Linked DNA regions of Lepisosteus oculatus. The protein of the gene in region 1 interacts with the protein of each later gene in a pairwise test. Links are inferred from orthologs where the notes say so. Each region holds a gene or a part of one and is shown on either strand. Other genes may lie near its edges.

What was found.
Region 2: the proteins of cdc5l (region 1) and 14-3-3 protein theta interact in a two-hybrid assay, tested with the Homo sapiens proteins (2 studies listed by BioGRID and IntAct). The link is inferred for Lepisosteus oculatus from reciprocal best matches to the Homo sapiens genes CDC5L and YWHAQ.

What each region holds. Positions count from the first base shown.
Region 1 is NC_090697.1:56,000,887-56,008,782, forward strand, and holds the start of cdc5l (cell division cycle 5-like protein), read left to right. Parts: upstream 1-4,615; 5' UTR 4,616-4,750; coding exon 4,751-4,795; intron 4,796-5,501; coding exon 5,502-5,605; intron 5,606-7,896. Other genes in the region: zinc finger protein 260-like, read right to left, coding at 322-361.
Region 2 is NC_090697.1:11,938,812-11,946,895, forward strand, and holds the start of 14-3-3 protein theta, read left to right. Parts: upstream 1-4,610; 5' UTR 4,611-4,718; intron 4,719-5,571; 5' UTR 5,572-5,807; coding exon 5,808-6,101; intron 6,102-8,084. UniProt on the Homo sapiens protein: Adapter protein implicated in the regulation of a large spectrum of both general and specialized signaling pathways. Binds to a large number of partners, usually by recognition of a phosphoserine or phosphothreonine motif.

The DNA of each region.
Region 1 (7,896 bases):
TCCTCGCTGAACTTCTGGAGTGAGTTTGCTGCACTGAAAGTAAAGGGGCCGAATAATTTTGCACGCCCCACTTTTCATTTTTTTATTAGTTAAAAAAGTTTCAAAAATCCAATAGATTTCGTTCCACTTCACAATTGTGTCCCACTTGTTGGTGATTCTTCACATAAAATAAAAAAATTATATCTTTATGTTTGAAGCCTGAAATGTGGCAAAAGGTTGAAAAGTTCAAGGGGGCCGAATACTTTCGCAAGGCACTGTAAGTTTCATGTGATCAAGCACTGCCCACTGCTCAATAAAAGGTCTTTACTTCTACAGACTTACCAGTGAAGAGCTGGACATTGCCTTTCTGTTCACTGTCCATCTTCACTCCAAACTTTCATGAAATGTATATCTGGAATGGCATTCATACTTATCCAGCCACTGTCTTACATTCCTAAAAAAAGACAAAACACTCCCATCAGGTGTATTGTTTAAACTTAAAACTTAGCTGTAAACATACTAAACAGCTACGCACAACTAAAAATTAATATTCTTGTAAATGTATCTAATGCAAATTAGTAGTTAAATGGTAAAATAGCTGTCTGACAATGTTTTAATGTGGTTGTATAATTTATTCACGAAACACTGGTGCTGTGAACTTGCATTGTTTAGATTGTGAATTGTACCTGTATGCTTTCTTTTGCAGTTTGTAGGCACTTAAAAGTGAATGAGTAGCTGAGGCTTTGGCAATATTTTTCAAACCATACATACTCTGTATAAACACGTTTCCTGCAGTAACACAACTGATACCAATAAATGTTGAGCTTTTATTTTTTATTTTTTTTATTTTGAGCTCTACCCTAAATTAACTGTATAAATTGATTATCAATGAAACTACACAATCTATAATTATGATTTCTTCCGTAGTCCCTCGCTTACTCTACATACAGTATCAAGTTCACGTTTATTTGTCATACCAGCCATATACAAGTATACAGTGGAACGAAATATCGAGTATACGATGTAGATTAAATAACAGCAGCAACAAAGCATGGTAAGACACATACCACTGAGATGCTTTTGTGCATAAAAACGGTGCATGACATCACCCTGCGCAAACAAATACAATATATAGCATGCTTCACAGTTGTGCTATTCCATCTTACTTTTGTTTCTTTTAGATACGAAGGAAATCCAGAGGAACAACAAATCTCTGTTCACCGGGGTAACGCATAACTCTCCACTCCTGCACCAGAAAAGACGGGTTCATTTCGCTTTCACTGCAGAGTAGTCTACAAAATCATATACATACTGTAGCGATAAGATAAAAACAAACTAACGTATTTAATATTTCAACGCCTTTAACTGGATCTACTCATTTGAATACAACTATGGAGTAAACATTAAATCACAAAATGAACAAGAGAAACTTATTTTTTCTTCAAAACCTTTTTTAACACGATTCGTTGCACAGAAAAAAAATACATTTGAGTCAGAAACACCGACTTAACTACCTACCTTTTAAATTCAGGCTACTAAGTCTTACAACCCTACAGTACTTCACGTGGGCATGCTAAATTATAAAACGAATGCTGCATATTTATTAAATTATTTTTTTTACCACAAGCCTTAACTGCTCAGAATTCTTCCAAGTTGTTGCGAGGGGAAGATATCAAATATGAATCGATACAACTGTGAGTAAATTGAAGTAAAGCTAACTACACTCACACTTCCTCACATCCCTCAGAGTTCACGTCTGCGCAGAATCGGCGCGATACCTGTCGCGGCTGCTAACAGAGCGGAAGAGCTGCTTAGCCAACCATGGTTGGCGTTTCACTCCCCGTGCTACTGCCACCTAGTCTGGGAATGTAAATGTCCTTCGATTCATTTTTCCAGTGGGTTACATACTAGATAGGCAAAGTCATTCTAAAGTTAAGCAAATATTAATGTGTGGAAAAAAGGTGGAACACTAAAATACTATGTTACGGATACGGATATACGGATGTTTCAGTAATGTACTCATGCAAAGTATTGCCACTATAATTCACCTGAACCTTATCCATACTACATTGAGATAGTCACAGTACTAGAAGTTATTGAGAAAAAAAGCTCTTTCTCATAGAAATGGTCTGCAGGCCACAGAGGGTGGAAACAAGGGACCCAAGAACAGGTTGAGAACATGCAAACTCCACACAGAACACACCCTAGCCTAGAATTAAAGACAGGATACCTAGAGCAGTGAAGCACCAGCAGTAACCATCACACTGCCATTATAAGGACAATTACCTCACTATATATACTTCATATAGGTCTTTCCCTTTCCCACTGTCTATACAGTGTCTTGTAAAAGAATTAACCCTCAGTAAAATTCCCACTTTTTCTGAGCTTGCAATCATGACACTTTCAAATTGGAGTTTATATTTATAATCTGCTCCAAACTGAGAGATCTAAAAAAATGCTGATGATATGTAGATTCTGAAGACAGTCAGTAGATTCTCAATTGCTTAAGTATTCATCCTCTTTTCAACTGCAACTCTAAAGTTGCTGAAGCTTTTTCATGTGAAGATTTTTCAGGTGAAAATAAATATATTTGATAGGTCTCAAAAATGGTGTAATATTCTCTGTCTATGCATAATCAAAGAGGTTTAACATGACTTTGGAGTAAATATCTTTGTTTCTGCAAGTCCCCTTAGGTGGATATTGAATTTAATGTCATGTGTCTCGTAGTGATATAAGCAATTGAGAAAAAAGACCAAAGAGATAAAATGATGGAGAGTCACAGACTAGAAGAAGGTTACTTATCGCTTTTAGTTCAGTGAATTCCAACATTAAGAAGTATAGTGTGCATCATACCACCCAGATACTACTTAGATCATACTGCAAATTACTGTAAGTTCATTTATAAAAAGTCACATACCTATACTTTTTTAATTAATCAAAATTTCATGTTAGAAGGTTTTGATCAATATTTCTGCAAGACACGATAATCTTGCACATAATAGTTAAAACATGTACTGTAACTATTTTATATGTTTTATATGACAGGAATTCTACTGTAAGTTCATTTATAAAAAGTCACATACCTATACTTTTTTAATTAATCAAATTTCATATTAGAAGGTTTTGATCAATATTTCTGCAAGACACGATAATCTTGCAACATAATAGTTAAAACATGTACTGTAACTATTTTATATGTTTTATACTCCACGGCCGAAACGTTGTGTTCTCTTTCTTCTTTTTTTCAGCATGGAATAAACCTATTACTTGTTCCTTTGCAGCCTACGCATGCTGACGCAGCTACCCACCGGAATTATTTTATGTGTATTTTATATTATAGCACTTATTATATGTCTTATATCTGATTATCAGATGCCCTGGATCTGACTGCCTGTTTGTGATGGATGAACCATTGAACTTTGTGTTGTAATTAGATTTGTTAAAAACATGCACATGGTCTCACAGATAATTGTAAATAACATTCCAAAGCCCAAACTGAATGGAAATTGGGCAGACATACCATAATGGAATATGTTATTTTATAATAAAACTTGATTTCTTACTGTTAGGTGACAACAGCAGTTAGCTTTATTTCAGATATCACCTTGCACTTGCTGGGGCATTGATCTGGCACTGAGGTATGGCAGAAAATATTTCATCCTTAAGGCTTTGAGAAAGCATTGTATCTCCAAGGGGCATTCATTATACTGTACTCTAGTACTGTATATAGTTTTTCCCTTTCTGTTTCTCTTTTTCATTTAGATAAATCTTGTAGAAGGATTATTTGACATTTTATTCTAAACAGTAACCTCATCTGGAAGAGGACTTGTTTCCTTTTTCTCCAGCTTTTTATTCTCTCCGGTATTTTGGAAAACTCTGTTACTTGTGGTAAAGGATTCAAGTGCACATGAAATATGTCAGTTTATAAAATCAATCCACTGAATTTCTAATCACTTTGTCTAATTCAGGGGGCGGTGGAGACAGAGACAATGCCGGTATGCAATGGGCGCAAGGTGGGAGTACACCCTGGATGTGATGCATCCCAGAAGTTTTCCCAGAAGTCAATTAACCTACCACTGTGTCTTTAGACTGTGAGAGGAAACTGGAGCACCCAGCAGAAACTTGCACAAACACTGGAATCACATATAAACGTCACGCAGATGGCACCCCATGTCTGGAACTGGACCCACGCTCCCCTCTTATAAAAAGGTAAAAATATTAATTTATACACGGGAAATAATTTTCTCACATATTCTAATATATTATAATATGCGTCTTGTACCACATATCTCCAAAAATAACGTTAAGGTATACATTTTTATATTTCTCCTCTACATGAGATGTCAGCAAAATTATATCATTTCGAATCATCTGAATTAATTTCAGCACTTTTATGAGATGTGTATGCTAGCAGTTACGCTAAGAGGTTACGTTCTTGGGATACTTTTTCATCTCCCAAATTATCATAACTGAAGCTACATTAAAACAGAATTAAAAGAGAATGCATACTACTTAGCGCATTTACTGTTAATTTTACCGGGTGCTCTACACTGCAACTTTAGAAGGCTGTTTTAATACATCCAGTCCAGAAGGGGAGCTGTAGCTATTGTCTTTTCTTGAGATTACCATGGTGAGGCGCATTATCTTGAGGAGCCATATTGAAACTGTGCAGCACGATCGTTCTGTGGATAGTATATCTTTGAATCTTTTATTTTTGTTTTATTTTATTTTTCTTTCCAGGAGCTTGAAATATTAACATTTAACTTTAAACATGCCGCGTATTATGATCAAAGGTGGTGTGTGGCGAAATACCGAGGTAATGTAACGGCCTTATTTTATAGCTTGGCATGGCAAATGAAAACATTGAAGTACAGATTGTAGTTATGTGTAATTTTTATTCTTCTATCGGGATAACATAAATTAGAATGATTTTCCTGTTTGCCTGTGATTTGATCATGTTTCATGAGTTGCATCTAGCTACTGCCAATACTTACCTTTTGCTCGCAAAATTCATGGCCTAAGTTCAGTGATGTGCAACTATGTCAGCTTTACCTATTTTGTGCTTTTCGTTGAATTGTGGCATGTTATGTAATTCCAAAACGTTTGATTTATTTCTTTATATCTTAAATTAAGTGTGTTGTAAGGGTATCCAATAAACTGCAATTGTGTTGAGAAAACATAGTAAAAATACTATGATGATGTTGGTTCTAGCGGAGACCTAGCCACGTTATAGTACTGTACGATAACAGCAACGTAAGTTAACTAAAACATGCTGATGAAATGTTGTTTGATCTACTGCTGACCACGAGTTTTCTGTTAGCTACTTTAATCATTTCCGATTTGTTAAAACATTTAATTTGTTTAACCATTTGGAGAAAAAAAACAGCTAATATTAACAGTTCTTTTTTGTTTTTGTACATCAGGTATAACATTTGCCAGTAGTGTCAAGCTTAAATTTGTCTTACGTATATTATCTCGTAAAGAAATGAGCCTAAAAATGCATCCTGTTCCTTTAATTTTAGGATGAAATCCTTAAAGCAGCGGTTATGAAATATGGCAAAAACCAATGGTCTCGGATTGCCTCACTGTTGCACAGAAAGTCTGCAAAACAATGCAAAGCCCGATGGTGAGTACAGGCTTTCATGAGCTGGAGTAGCACTGTAGGGTTAAATCTTTGATTCTAACACCAACGTATTCTTGTTTGATTCACTCAGGGTTTTTTAATATCGAATGCTTTGCTGTAAGAGTACAGTAGGTTGTAATAGCTTTTTCCCACTTGCGATGGTAGGTGTCGTCTGTAAGAATTCCAAAAAAACACTTCTAAAAGGTCTTAAAGGAACAAGTTAAAGGTTTATTCCATGCTGAAAAGAAAGAAAGGAAACACAATGTTTTTGGCTTCTGTAGCCTTCTGCGGGTGTGAGGTCTTATAGGCACATTATTTTAAAAAAAGCTATTTTTATGTAATTTCAGCTAAATGCTTGTTCTACTTGTGCACCCTTTAGTGTTGTGAAGGTCAGTTTCGGTGGCCTGCAGACATCTGCATCTGTGGAGGAGCACTGCCAAATTGGAGGCAGGGTGGTGTAGCAGTTAGCATTTAGCTTAGCTAACCTAGCACTGCAGTTAGCACTTAACACAGCTGAGGCTTAGCCTTAAGGTTCTGGGTTGGATTTTGTATTAGGGCACATTATGTGAGCATGTTTTGAATGCTACCTGTGTTCACATGGTTTTACTCTAGGAACTCTGGCTTCCATGCCCATTGCAGTGAAAAACTAATGATTGGCAATGCTGAGCTAATCATACCAGTTAGTAGCACGATGACCAGGAACTTGGAGTACCTCTAGTGCTTTTCCTTCTCTAGTATAGCAATACTAACGTTCTGATTAAAAAACGAACAGCAGCAAGCCATTTGACAACGCCCTTTAGCATGTCATAGAATGTGTCACTAGCCCTGACACCACTTCGCTGACACCAGGTGTCCTGATCATCTTCTCATCTGCTGGAATTGGAACAGTCTTGAGACCACTCTGCCTCACATTTTAATCAATTTGGTTGTCCTCCTGCGGAAACTTTTAAATATGTTTTCAAACGTTCGCATGTAATCATTTAAATGTTTTTAGAAAATATGTTATCTAAAATAGAACAGTATAGTGGCCCAGAGGTTAGCATTGCTGCCTTGCAGTTCTGGGGGCCCTGGGGTCTATTCCAGACCTGGAGTGATATCTACATGGGCTTTTTATGTTAACTCCCTGTTCTTGTGGGTTGCCTCCGGTTGCTCCAGTTTGCTCCCACAATCTAAAAACATACTAGTAGGTGAACTTAGGAATATTAGTCCTGGTGTACGTGCATGGGTACATGTCTATTTTTTTGTCTGTCCGGCCTGTGTTGGACTGGCGTGCCATCCAAAATTTACCCTACCTTTTCACCCGTTCCTTGTTGGGATAGGCTCTGGCTCCCCTGTAACCCTGAATTGGAAGCAACACTTAGAAAATGGCTGTTATTTAAGATAAAGCTTCATAAATGTGTAAGCATGCAAAACTATAATACGTAAAAGAGCATCCCTCATGCTTCTGTTAACATCTGTCATCAGTTATCACATCCAGTAGTTTGTGTAACAACACTCATGCATTCTCTGTGCTGCACTAATGTTATATTTGGCAGTTTTCGTTACCAGATTGGCTTTAATGGTCAAAAGCACAGTGTTAAGGGTGCTCAACCAGTAAAGGGGTTTGCATAGGTGCAGATTGAGTTCTAAAACCTAGGTATCTTTGGATCGAGATGTCATTAACCATCTGAGACCAGGATTTCCCAAGTGATGGAGCACAGTTGACTCACAGCTGGTAAGCGTAAGGTTGGGATTAGCTGCCCAGAGCTCTTGGAAGTTCTTTGGTAGCCCCTGTGGTGTTCCAGGGACATGCAGACTTGTGTGGCTGTCTCTAACAGATCATGCAGTCAGCTCTGATCCTAAGGTAGGGAAGAAACTGCCTGCTACTCCTTATTCTCCCTTGTGTGCAGTTGCTATGCCAAGACCTGAGAAATGCACAATTGGCATTTCCATGTTGGGTGGGTATACAGCAAAATTAATTGAAAGAGAGCAAAACGCCCTTATAACTTAATTTTCATGCACTGTTTTTCTTTTATTGAATGCTGGAGTCTTTAGCCCTTGTTTTGGAGTGTCCCAGTCCACTTAGTGTTATAGATTTCACTAAATCCCTAGCTCTTTTAAACACTTGGATGTTGTTTATTAATTAAGCAATTGATTTGTTCATTTAAGGGCACTCTGGTCCTTTAGGCCTGAAGGGTTTGATCACTTTTTTTCAGAGGACCTCCTAATGGCTTAATTTATACGCTCACCTATTTTTAATTGATCATAAGTAGATTGTTCCATGTGTTAAGAATTTGTTGATTAATTGCTTAGGC
Region 2 (8,084 bases), about 44 Mb from region 1:
ACAAAGCGGTCAGAAAATAGATGGACGGATGGATTAATCTTTGGTTTAGGTCACAAGGTCTGCTGTCTTTATGTGTGCAAGTGTGACTGTTGTGGTTCCGCACGGCCTCATGCCCTCTGCCACCCCATTCCGTCCTGCAACGCCTGGGGAGCGAACCCAGGGCTCCAGCATAACACAACAGGGAACCAGCCGCATGAGCTAAAGGAGACCTCCCCCAGCCCAGACGGCTGAGGTCCCCGCTACGCGCAGTGAGGGACGATGACGTCACCGTATCCGAACTAGGTCCGCTACACAAGCCTTTAGGGCCACCATGATGTTGGGTAAATAGACATTCCTTTTCTGCGCCTCTCACCTGAAGGGTGCCTTGGCCATGTTCATGTTTCAGAGCGAAGCACTACAGTTGCAAAAAGACCGGCCAAGCACATGTTGCAGGAGAGTGGGAACGGTGTGTTTTTCACCCATCCTACGGGAATGCCATTTGTTCCTCTGCCTACTAACCGGCTGCCAGGATCAGAAAATCGCCGAGATAGCTTTTTTTTTTTCCTCGCTATGTGTTCTGCAAACCAAACCCTGATCCTTTACAAACGAATCTGAAACTAAACGTGGACGCATTGATTCTTATGTCTCTGCCTTTGGTACTGCTGTGTCTGTGACACTCATATCACTGCGCTGTGGAAAGTACGTACAAAGCATTGCAGTGCTCCACTCACTTGAGGTTGCCATGGCTGCGCACTGCTATGGTAATAACTTAAGAGGAAGAGGTCTTTGTTGGTATCAGCGCTGCTCCTTTTCAGATTTTTTTAAAGACGGTCGTCTGAGTGGATGAATGCCCCTTTGCTTCGGTTTGACGGTAAAAATATAATGGCTCTCTAAAAGGGGCGACCTCTCTGAGAGCAAAATGGAAAAAAGGCCTCTCACCAGAGGGTGGCAGGAGTTCATGTTGGATCGTGGCAGCACAAATCGCCACCTCCTGGCAGCTGGCGAATCCGAACTTGAAGACTCACGAAATACGCACCCCACAACTTATTTTTATTATTTGACTGACACCTGTAGCCCACACGAACAAAGTTTATACAGCCTGGAATTTTACCTTGCTTACCTTGTGACATACTGTACCTGGCTTGAGGTTACCACACGATTGCCCCATCTAGAGTTTTTGCACCTCCAACAGCCCTAGCTGCCTACCAGCAGCCACATCACCCTGCAACTCACAACTGGCAGCCCACTGAAGCTCAGCAAGTGTGAGCCTGGTCAGTCCCTGGATGGGAGACCTCCTGGGAAAAACTAAAGTTGCTGCTGGAAGAGGTGTTAGTGGGGCCAGTAGGGGGTGCTCACCCTGTGGTCCATGTGGGTCCTAATGCCCCAGTATAGTGATGGGCACTATACTGTAAAAAAGCACCTTCCTTTGGATGAGACATAAAACTGAGGTCCTGACCCTCTGTGGTCATTAAAAATCTCAGGGTTTCTTGAAAACAGTAGGGGTATTACCCCAGTGTCCTGGCCAAATTCGCCATTGGCCTTTACCAATGACAGTCAGTTTGTGATTTTGAATTTTACCATTTCATTTTGCCACTGTCAAGAGGAGAACCTCCTGCCTCATCTAACAATAGGGAGATCAAAGGAGTTTCAGTCTTCATAACCCTCACCATGGCTGCCTATAAGACAGTTCTGACGTTTTTCTTCCTCCAAAGATGAAGAGTCTTACCAGTTAATCCACGTGGGCTAAATCATAATGAGTGTGGAAGGTTGGGAAAGTGTGCCTGCCATCTAAATCCTTTTGTCAAAATCTAGCATTTTATAAAGCACCATTTGAATCTTCCAAGATACAGAGTTTTGCATACAGAGTTCACTGAATAGGAGTCAAAGTTCTCTGTCAGGCAAAGCATTTCTAAATATGCTTATCTGTAATCAAAAGGGCCTCTGCCAGCAATATTATGAATGTAGTTTGGAAAGGGAATGCTTGGACTGATGTCAAGAGAACAGCAGCACATCTCACTGAGGTACATAGGGCTGACTGAGCCTTGCTCAGAATCATGAAGCCCCTAAAATGAACATTTTACACATCAAGCAGTGCTTACTACCAAGGAACCAGAGTTGTGATTCTTAGGAAGTTCTCTTTCTTTCTATCTCCTCTGAAGTCAGGAATAAAACTAACAGAAATGGAGGTTTATACAAGCAATACCTGCATATTAGAAAGGGGTTGGCAAACCTTTAATCATCCCTTTTTACGGTTGCCAAGAGACTTTTATTCCCATAAATCACTACAAAATGGATGTTCTGTTAAAAAAATTATGTTAGTCTTATTAAACAGAAAATCACAGTTTTCTCTACCACCTGTGCATACTGTTTGACAGGGACACTGGGGAACACAGGATGTCTTGCTGAATGGCTCACAATAAATGAAATCATAAAGCCCAATTAAACACCATTCTCATATACCAATAAAACATGAGTTATTAAGATTAATTTCATAGTGTTATTCATCTGTGTACTGTTCCTGCAGAGGAAATGGCAGCAAATCTGAAATCTGCAGCTTGGTTTCTTCAGATGTTCCTATAAGGAAGGCAATCACCATTTTGTTTTAAGCAACAAGTGCAGTGATTATTCTGGAGCTCTGTGCCTACAGACTGAGCTATCGTGACGCGTGGGTCAAGGGGAGAGCGTTTAATCAAACTGTTCTGCAATGTGATTATCAAAACCAACGGGACCTCCTGGGTCTCATTCTGAGGCTGTGCGTCACAGGCTTTTCAAACAGTTCAGTTCAACTTGTTTGCAAAAGTATTAGTTATCATACCTCCAACACGCATCTCACCCTTCCTCAGCTAAAGCTAAAGGCAGCTTTTAAATTGTAGCTTTTTGTTTAGACTACAAAATGTTTGGAGGACAATTGGATCTGTAATGGCAGCAACCTGATCTGAATCCAGCACTGTAAGAAACAGGATATTTAAAACATGCCTCATCGGTCCACTTCTTCTTACACCCCAGGTGCTCCTTTGTCGACGAGGAGTCGAAGGGCAGGTCTGGCGCACGTGAAAACAAGCTTTATCCTGTCCCCACACTGGTGTTTTGGGATTGGTCAAGATTCCTGCTCGGCCAACAGCTAGGAGTGTAATTTAGATCTCGAGCAGGGCTAATGATTAACGTCCGACTCGGAGCTGAGCACAGGTGAGGAAATATCAGATGACAGTTTTCCTTTATGGCATGGGAGGGCTCACGAGGGGGAGGGTGGGCGTCTAACAGCGTCTAATCCAGAGAGGGTGAAGCGCTGAATAAAAGTCAGTTGTGCTCAACTGCCATTGTGCTGCTGCAGGTGCCACCTTCTCCGCAGGAAAAAAAGTGCTGACGATATTCTCAGTTCGGCTGTGTCACACAATAACTCCACAGATCCTGGAACAAGCTATTAATCACACTACTGGAAATCCTCGTAGGCAGACCTTCAGACCATAGCAGAAATGCTTTAAGCCATGAGTTTTCAAACTGGGGAAGATTCTGGATCCTTGACTATTATTCTGTATAAACTGGTGGGGATGTCCCTGTAGGATTAGCACCGGAAATGACTCCCTCGGACTGGCGTAGAGTTTCTGTGAGACCAACTTTATTACAACTATAATACAAATGTATTGTTCCTATTATCTGTTATTTAGCATGATCATTTCTCACCAAACAGCTACAACGCGGCAAAGAAAATGTAAATATATTTTTGAAAGTTACCTCCTTGAGCGAAACTCCCTCAAACCACAGTGTTTATGATTAGGAAGTACTGTATTGTTTGTCACAGGACATTGGAGTCCCACCAAACTTACTGCACCCTGGTCTTGAGGCCAGATTTGGGATTTTACCTGCTACCATCCTTGTATTTCATGGAATCGTGAGAATATGACAGCTCCTTGCTTAAACGTCATTTGAAACCTACTTTCCGATAATTTAGGGTTTAAGAATTGTAATCCCAAATTTTGTATTCGAATGTCACCGGACACGTCCTCCTTAAATATCCGTCCGGAGGAAATGTTCAAATATCTTGAAACGCATCCCCCCCCGTTTTCGTTCTGAACAGGTATGCGATATAAATGATTATAGTATAAATACCACCGGCGGTCCACCCCTCTCACGTCTCCCCTCGCTCGACTGAGCGCCCTCTTATTTTGAATAAATATGGTACCGCTCATCTATTCATTCAAAGCCGGGGGAATGAAATACGCGAAGCTACAATCATAGGGGTGGGCATGGTCAGAGGGTCCACAGGGGGGCTTTTGGCTGGCTCCCCGCTTGCAAGAGATGAGTGCCGCCAGCCTCTGAGTGAGACACACTCATCCACCACGCCCGCTCCCGGGCCTCACTGATGCCGACTGTCACTACAGTAGTGCTACATTCAGCGGTGGTGGAGTAGGAGGAGGAGGAGGAGGAGGGGGGGTGCTGGATAACCATGGCAATGGTGACGTCTTCTCCCTTGCTCTAATTGGAGGAAACCCCGTGGCCCCAGCCGCAGCCTACAGGCCAGTCGAACTTGCCCATTTAAAGCCCGCCTTCTTCCGCGCGCTGCGGTGCTACTGGCGAGCATTTTTGAACTGTAACGGTCGAGCGGTGCGGGACTCACTCTCTCATTGGGGCTCGCGCTCGCCTGGCCCCGCCTCGGCTCTCGTGCTCGGTTGAGACTGGCGGCTGGGCTCCTTTCCTCTCTTCAGCCCTAAAGCGGATCAGCTCGGAGGAGCGGTACGGAGGTAAGCGGAGGTTTGGCGCTGCTTCCCTCGTATTTTAGGGGCGCAGTAAGGAGGGTTGTGCTGGGGGAAGCGACGTGAATGTGCCGTTTGTTGAAGGGCTTGCGTTTATTGAACCCGATAACCGTGTGGTATATCGGACCTGGCGTGTATGGCGGTTCGGGTTTGCCGCATCCATTTTGTCACACAAGGGGAGAAAAAAAAGACTGTCTCGGGAATTGGTTTTCGGCTCATAGGAGCCGCCATTTTATCTAAATCTGTGTTTAAACGCGGAGTTATTCGGATAACTGCCTGCGTGGTTCGTGAATGGGGTCGAAACGCTAAGGAGCAGCGGTGGCGGGGAGACCCGAGTGTCGTCTCGCTTTTTGAGCTGGGCGCTGACACAATGGCGAAATCGCCTCTTAAGACACGGGGGGAATTTCCTGGCCATTATTGCCAAATTGCCGGGGTGGGTAGCGGAGTACGATGTCGTGTCTCTCCGGGTGGTGCTCGCTGCTGCTGCTTGTTCCGAAAGCAAACCTTTGCCGAGCCCCGGGAGGGGGAGACTGACCGCCGCCCGTTTCCCTGCTCTTCAAGGGAGACGGGACCTGCGTGTGTGCGCGTTGGATACAGCCTCCCCGCCCCTGGGTCACGTTAGAAGTACTGGAGAGAGAGAGAGAGAAAAAAAAGATGGCAGGTCCTTTGGTGGTCTCTCGTCAGCCTGGAGACGTGCAGTCTCGATTCAGCCCGACGGGTTTCTTGACAACCGTACGATCGACGCGCACGGATTTGGGCTCGATGCTTGCGCGACGTGTGTGCGTGTAGCTTGCGTGCAGCTCAGCCTCAGTTGCCCACCTCTTTCCCGTTCGGCTCGCAGGCTTCCCACAGGACGTCGCCTGCACGACTGCTGTCTGCTCACCTGCTTGCCCCGCGTCCCCCCGTCCCCGGCCATCGACACCACCGACAGCGCTCAGGCTCTCCGGCGATCCCGGTTCCCCCCCCCCAGCCCGCAGCTGGTCACCCGGCCCGTCCTGAAACACTGCGCCTCGAAGAGAATATCCTGCCCTCAGCCCCACTCCCCCTCCCACACACGCACGATCGGAAGCGGACGCGATGGATAAAACGGAGCTGATCCAGAAGGCCAAGCTGGCGGAGCAGGCCGAGCGCTACGACGACATGGCCGCGTCCATGAAGGAGGTGACCGAGCAGGGGGCCGAGCTGTCCAACGAGGAGAGGAACCTGCTGTCCGTGGCCTACAAGAACGTGGTGGGTGCCCGCAGGTCCGCCTGGAGGGTCATCTCCAGCATCGAGCAGAAGACCGAGGGCAGCGACAAGAAGCTGCAGATGGTCAAGGAGTACCGGGAGAAGGTGGAGTCCGAGCTGCGGGAGATCTGCAACGATGTTCTGGTGAGACCCGCCGCCGCTGCCCGCTTTACCTTCAGATCACCTTCCCAGCTCCCAGCCGGGTCCCCGGACCCCGGGGGCCCGCTCGCAGGCGCGCCGCGGTGGGGTGAGGTCAGGTGATTATTAATAGGAATGTGTAGTGCAGCAAGAGGGGTGGGGTGAGCATGCAGTCCCGTCCTGGTTTCATTTCATTTCTCATCCGTGGCCCTGCTGGAGAAGGGCAGGGGGAGAACGCCCCCACAAGGTGGGAGTTCCCCCTGATCCTTCGGCGTGGGATGTGGAGAGAGGCTGGGGAAGACATGCAGTGGCTGGCAGGGGACCGAGGTGTTTGGTGAGGTCGTGTGTTTTGAGTAGAGCGATGCTGCCCTTAGTCCCAGTCCAGCAGAGAAGCTGCCAGTCCCGAGTTCTGGTCCCAGGGCCGTGCTGATCTGCAGCTGGGAGGCTGGGCTGTTGAGGGCGTCGTCGGCCCGTTGCAGCAGATCGCCTACCCAGGCCTCCCACAGATCAATACGTGATGCAGCAGTTTCGTTTGGCTGACCGACGCTGTGGGGATTGAGCAGCACGTTGATAGAGGAGCAGGACTGGAACGGGGCAGCAGTGAGCGAGGGCACCACTGGGTGGGCTACACAGGGGCCTGATGGCAGGTGTCCGAGCTCTGCATCCCGCTATTAGCACAGCAAGTCTTCTGGCCAAGAAATTCTATTGATGGGTCTGAGGAACTTTAAAACGGGTCAGATTTTATTTTAATTTGAATTGTTTTATGACTTGCTGTGGTGGTTTAGTTTAAAGGACGTTTTCATAGGTTAATTTTTCATATTTTTCTACCCTAGTCCCTTCAGCAGAGATTCACATCTTCAATAGAAATTACATGTGATAGGACTGTGCTTGTATTGTGAAGTGGGTGTATTGGGGTTGTTGGTATTTTAATTTGTATCCTTTGAGTTTTACTGTTGACGTATTAATTGTGCTTTAAGATTTTTTGTTAGATAATTGTAAGTATTGTACTCATCTGAATCCTCATTATATCGTCTGAAGTGTAATTCACTCCCTTTTCTTGAGCTGTACCAGGCCCTGGGTTCTACGTGTGGTATTAAAATGCACTTTTAATGCAATTAAATGGTGTTTGGTAAGCTACACTAAAATTATAGCTCAATGTTTTCAGTGGTAATATAGATTTTAAAGTGGGATAGGAAAAAAGTGGATCATACCTTAAATATCAGGGTGTGTACATCTTTCATACATGAAGGGCTTTGAAGTGTTACCTCAGGCGGGTACATTACACCGGTTTAGGATTATTATTAGGTTTGAAGTGGTAATGAACCATTTTTGTAAGGTTATATTTTTTTAATTAAAAAATTGGGAAGGGAAAAAAAAGTGCCCTTTAATGTTTAATATACAGAGTAACCGTTAAAATACATGTTGAAAACGTGGGATTTAAATTTCACATTTACATATTTGATTCATATCTCAAAACTTTATAAAGGCTAATTCTTCGTGACCTATCTAAGTTGACTACTGGCACTGTTGAGAGGTTGTGACTTTTGTGGTAAGTCTCCAGTTTTCATACTAAATGGACAGTTGAACTTTTACATTCAATGTGTATATTTAACTGGTAAATCAATACTATGTACTTACCTGATAAAAAGTAATTGATCTAATATTTAATACCCAAAGGCTCTGTGCTAAATCTACAACCAAAGAGCTGGGAGTATTTTATAATAGTTTATAAAATCAGTTTTAAATTTTAGAAACATACTTCCTAGAGGTGAAATGCTGATTCATTGAAAATCTGAGTACATAAATGAAGCCTAAAGGCTTAACAATAATTGCAAAGGGAATGGTTTCACTTTTTTTTTAACATGAAGGTTTTCTCTAAGCTTGTTAGTGTGACTTTATGGCCTGGGATGAGCATATTCTATAGTTAAGCAAGATGAAAGTCAGTATTCAGAACCTGTTTGATTCTAACCTTCACTATTGCATGTTTTA